Kluyveromyces lactis: one gene and its partner. The protein of the gene in region 1 interacts with the protein of each later gene in a biochemical or structural test. Links are inferred from orthologs where the notes say so. Each region holds a gene or a part of one and is shown on either strand. Other genes may lie near its edges.

Region 1 (3,034 bases):
GCCTCAATTAATATATTTGGCAAAGAGAAGGTAGCTCCGGTATTCACTGTGAGTAAATATAACAATAAAAGAGTAAATGTAGTCCTTATGGGAGATATTTTATGGTTACAAAGGAGAAACAGAACAGAATCAAGATTTGAGCCAATTTTTCTCTACCAATTACTGGATCTAATTTGAAAACAGAATAAGCATGGCATATCATTAGGAAAATGTCTTTATGTAGTGTTTATACACGCTATCAGAACATTTCATTGGATTTTTGTTCGTTTTCACATTGCCATTATGTCGAATGGAATTGTAGAATGTAATAAGAATGTATGTTAATTTTTTTTTTATTGGACAAAGAAGGCGAGTTCGATGAACAGGTCAGTTCATTACGAGAGCCATGGGCTTTTATTTGAATTGGATATAACACAAACAAGGGAACCACGTAATTTTTTTAATTTCTTTAGCTTTAGTTTTATTATCTTTGTTCAAACGTCAGAATTCATGATGCTCATTGGCAAATTTAAAAAAGTATCTTTAACGGCAGCAGTTCAGGGTCGGGAAGATTCTATTTCTTTTCATCGTCAGTGTTCGTGACAGCGGCAGCTTCAGGAGTATCCTTTAGTTGAGGGTTTTCTTCCACATATTTTTCCAAGACAGGTTCGAAAACGGCATTTTCAGTTTGTACTTCAACAGTAGAGGTGGCAGTTGAAACCGGGGTAGTGCTCTTATCCTCGATTTTTGAAGCTTCTGCAGAAGCTTCTTCTTCATCCTTGATTTGTTCAGCATAATAGTCTGGGTATTTTCTGAAACAATTTTGCATAGTGGAGAACTTCTCAACACAGTTGATACCCTTTGGATCAGCTTCAGAGTAGACAAAACATGAAAAAGCGGACTTAAACTCTTCACCGCAAGGACCGTATGCCATACCACCTAAACAAGGACAATCCCAGTTGATTTCACCAGTTTCTGGGTTGTATGCAGTTTGTTGTTCGTTTTTTTTTTCACCTTGAACACCTGCAGCCGCAGCAGCCGCAGTAGCGGACTGTTCAGCAGTGCCACCGGAGATAGACCGAATTTCAGCTTGCTCTTCTGCTTCTGTTATGGTCTCAGCTTCAGCAGGAGATTTTTCATGCAAAACAACATCCGATTCACCTTCTGAACCGTCTTTTGAGGCGGTTTTTACGGCATCTGGGCTTGTTTGTTGAATCTCCTTTTTGTCAGCTTCATCTTCTAAAACAACACCCTTGGCAGTTTTTGAGTCATCGAAGCTCAAAGAGGGAGCTTTGGTATCCTCGGAAATGCCAGTAACAGGTTCATTGGTGGCTTCTCCACTGGCAGCTGGTTCGGTAGCTTGTTCATTGACGGATTCAGCAACTGGCTCAATGGCAGCTGGCTCATCTCCTGATAAGGTGGCTGCTAAGGCCTGGTGTGTCTCCTCGCTATAAGTAATCTCGTTCTCAGGAGTAGTAACTGGCTCAGCACCTTCCTCCTGAGCAGACACCGGAGATTCATCGGCATCCTTCGTAGGTTCAGAAATAGATTGTGATTGGCCCGCTGCAGGAGTCTCTTCAGCAGGCTTCTCAGCAGGAGCAGGCTTCCTCTCAATCAAAGTAGGACACCCATCAGCAACGTAGATGGCACCAAGAGTACTGAACCCAGCCAACAACAATGCTGGCTTGTTCATATGGCTCACTCCACCGGAAGGTGGATGAGCACTGTAAAACCTAATTTGTCTAGCGGATCTAAAAGCAACACGTCTAGTAGCTTGTAAAGAAACACGGAACATTGTCTTCAAAAAAATATGTATATGCCTATAATCAATTGACTCGTCAGCAACTTTCAAACGTTTTCTAAGTGTACTGTAAAAATACCAAACCTAACTAAAAGCAAATTTCTTTCCTCCCGTTGTGGGTATCAATCAGCTTCTCTTTTAAATGTTCCTTTGACAAATTGAAAATGCCTTTGTTAGCAAAAAAAAGAAAAATTCGAATATCAAACAAAATGGATATTGAAGCATTGTGATATGAGGATGGGAAATGATGATGTATTTTGAAGATAACACGGAGACGAGAAGGACAGTGTTATAGTACACGTATAGGGGATCTAAGAATAGTTAAGTTTGGGCAAAATAGTAGCTTTTTTTCTCATTTGACAAGTGGGAGAAAACAGGATACAGGATACAAGGATGAAGATATATTACATTGGAGTTTTAAGAAACAGCGATGATAAGACCCTTGAATTAAGTTCTGTGAAGGACTTATCACAATTTGGGTTCTTTGAAAGGAACAGTGTTGCACAGTTCATGTCCTTTTTCAGTGAGACTGTTGCTGGCAGGACAAGTGCTGGTCAAAGACAGAGTGTTGAAGAAGGTAACTATGTAGGTCACGTTTACGCAAGGCCTGAAGGAATTTGTGGTGTTTTGATTACGGATAAGGAGTACCCAGTAAGACCAGCTTATACGTTGTTGAACAAAGTATTGGATGAGTATTTGGTAGCGCACCCTCCTATCCAGTGGAAGGACGTGACGGAGAGTGACGATTCGCTCAAGTTGAAGGAGTTGGATATCTATATTGCCAAGTATCAGGACCCATCTCAAGCTGATGCAATAATGCGTGTACAGCAAGAATTAGACGAGACCAAGATCACGCTACACAAAACCATTGAAAACGTATTACAAAGAGGTGAGAAATTGGACAATTTGGTAGACAAGTCCGAATCACTATCTGCTGCATCGAGGATGTTCTATAAGCAAGCAAAGAAAACCAATTCGTGCTGTATAGTTATGTAGACGGATTTGAAATAGAGGCCAAAACATGGCCAGCCTGATCATATATAGCCCTTGCTACGAGTATTAAGCATAATAGTAATCAAAATAAAGTAATAGTAAGGTTTCACCGGCGTTTTGACCGCCACCTTTGATCAGCCTTTCGTTCCTTCCTGTCCACTAGGGTCTGATTTATCTATCATCATCTGGCTGAGTACGGGCAGCGGATCAATTTTGAAAGAAATTTTCTCCAAAAAAAACGACCCCGGAGAGGATTGAACT
Region 2 (2,185 bases), on another chromosome or scaffold:
AATGACTGGTCCAATAGGTTCTGTCGATGGTTCTTGGGACGGTGATGAAGATATTGAGGATGTACTTTTCGTTGGATAATCATCACTTGGAATAATCCGTCTCTTTTTCAGATTATAATCCACATTGGCAGTACCTGACCGTTTGGGCCTCGTTACCTCCATATTTTTTGTCATGAAGCCGGAAAGTAGATGTACTGGCACGTAATTTTTTTAGCCGGTACTTTCCCCTACTCGTTGTTTCGCGTTGAACCATAATTTAATTCAATTGTTAGATGCGTTCAATTAAATTTGTATCGCACTTTTTTATTTTTTTTCTGTATTCCAATATCACGAACCTTCGATAGTTGAAGTCGTATACACATACCAGCTATATCAATGATAATGGAATCAAAATGTATATAGTTACGGGAACAGGCTGAGGCGTCACCAGTCACATTAAAATAATAGAAGCAACCATGGACGACGAATTGAGAGCCATTAGAGAGGCCAGATTGAGGGAATTGAAGCAACAAAGTGGAGGAACATCAGAATCAGCAAACAACGGATCGAATGATGGTCAAACACAAGCGATATTGAATCAGATTTTGGATTCCAATGCACAAGAAAGATTGAGCAGGGTAGCGTTGGTGCGGCCAGAACGTGTAAAGGCAGTAGAAGCTTATTTACTACAAATGGTGCGGTCCGGTGCTATTAGAAACAAATTAACAGAGCAGGACATCGTTGGAATCCTCGAATCAGTCGGAAGAGATGAGCAAAAGCGCAATACTACACGTATTATATTCGATAGAAGAGAAAAAGGAACAGCATCATCTAGTGTGGATCAAGATGACGATGAAGACGATGATTTCTTTGACTAGTTATCTGTCTTCAATATATCAGGTTTTAACAGAGAAAGAAAGTAAGATATACATGCATATATAATTACAACGAATGAGAACTCAATCCTCATAAGTACCAAATAATTGCAAGAATCGGTAGTTCCAAAGGTTCAATGACTACTATAGGTCAATGCTCCCTCTGTCAAATCAATACATGTCCAAATCACGTGCATGTGACCGGGTAACGTATATTTCCTCATATTTCTGAAAATTTTCAGTATAGCAACTATTCGTCAGGAATTGCAGTTCACTAAAATTTAACTAATAGCAGTTAAATGCGTTGACAACTAGACTGTTGTTTGATCTGTAAATATTTATTGACGTAGTTTATCGTAGTGATTAGTCTTCTATTCATAGCCACAGGAATACCACTCCTACAATAACAACATATAAAAATCATCTTCTAAGAAATGTTCGGTCTAGGCGGTCAACCTCAATTATCTTCTCAACAAAAGCTATCAGCAGCTGAAGCTGAACTAGATTTGGTTACTGACATGTTCAACAAGTTGGTCGACAACTGTCACAAGAAATGTATTGAACAAATTTATAACGATGGTCAACTAAACAAGAACGAATCTACTTGTATCGACAGATGTGTTGCCAAGTACTTTGAAACTAACGTTAAGGTTGGTGAAAACATGCAACAGCTAGGCCAAGCTTTCTCTCCAGGTAAATTCTAAACCCGATGAGGGAAGCTTAAGCCGGGACGTTAGTGCATAATCTTTTTCGCAACTTTTCACGTTTTATCATGTACATATATGACAAATTTTGTATATACAAATATATTATATATATATATTAATTATCTATTTACAGAGTTTTAAAAATGAGGTAATGTCGGAGTACCAAACGATTAGGTTTGTGTATCTCGATCAAACCGATAAATATAGAGATATAAATGTATTTGCTAATACCGTGATGTGTTTTTGTCCATTATCTTCCCTTAGGATTGAAAATTTGGACGATCCCTTCTGTCTTTAAAATCCTAGCATTTTCATAACGCGTAATTTACAACCTTCAAAAGTATTCACTTTTGGTCTAACGTCCAAATATATTGGAGGAAGGTGGTTCTTTTCAGGTTCTGGATTCGAATAGAAGTCGATGACATAATCTATTTGTTTCCCGCAGCGATCGACGACCCAATCGTGCCTATCAAAAGGTTTGGTCATTCCAAGGATTGAGGATCTAAACCATGCTCTTGGGGTTAACTTCTTTGAATCGCCTTTGAAACTAGTCAATTTGATGCCACCACAGACATCTCCCCCTTGTCCGTCTTCCCAAATTTTGATATAATTCCATACTCTTTC

Evidence for each region. The genes of interacting proteins can lie anywhere in the genome.
Region 2: the proteins of MIA40 (region 1) and TIM10 form a complex in vitro, tested with the Saccharomyces cerevisiae proteins (4 studies listed by BioGRID, with this or other methods). The link is inferred for Kluyveromyces lactis from reciprocal best matches to the Saccharomyces cerevisiae genes MIA40 and TIM10.

Annotation. Positions count from the first base shown.
Region 1 is NC_006040.1:228,306-231,339, reverse strand, and holds MIA40 (Mia40p), read right to left. Parts: upstream 1,775-3,034; coding exon 554-1,774; downstream 1-553. Other genes in the region: mRNA splicing protein SPP382, read left to right, coding at 1-177; palmitoyltransferase YKT6, read left to right, coding at 2,174-2,776. UniProt on the Saccharomyces cerevisiae protein: Required for the import and folding of small cysteine-containing proteins (small Tim) in the mitochondrial intermembrane space (IMS). Forms a redox cycle with ERV1 that involves a disulfide relay system.
Region 2 is NC_006042.1:2,403,161-2,405,345, forward strand, and holds TIM10 (protein transporter TIM10), read left to right. Parts: upstream 1-1,288; coding exon 1,289-1,558; downstream 1,559-2,185. Other genes in the region: RCO1 (Rco1p), read right to left, coding at 1-174; SDD2 (Sdd2p), read left to right, coding at 456-857; cytochrome c1 heme lyase CYT2, read right to left, coding at 1,856-2,185. UniProt on the Saccharomyces cerevisiae protein: Mitochondrial intermembrane chaperone that participates in the import and insertion of multi-pass transmembrane proteins into the mitochondrial inner membrane.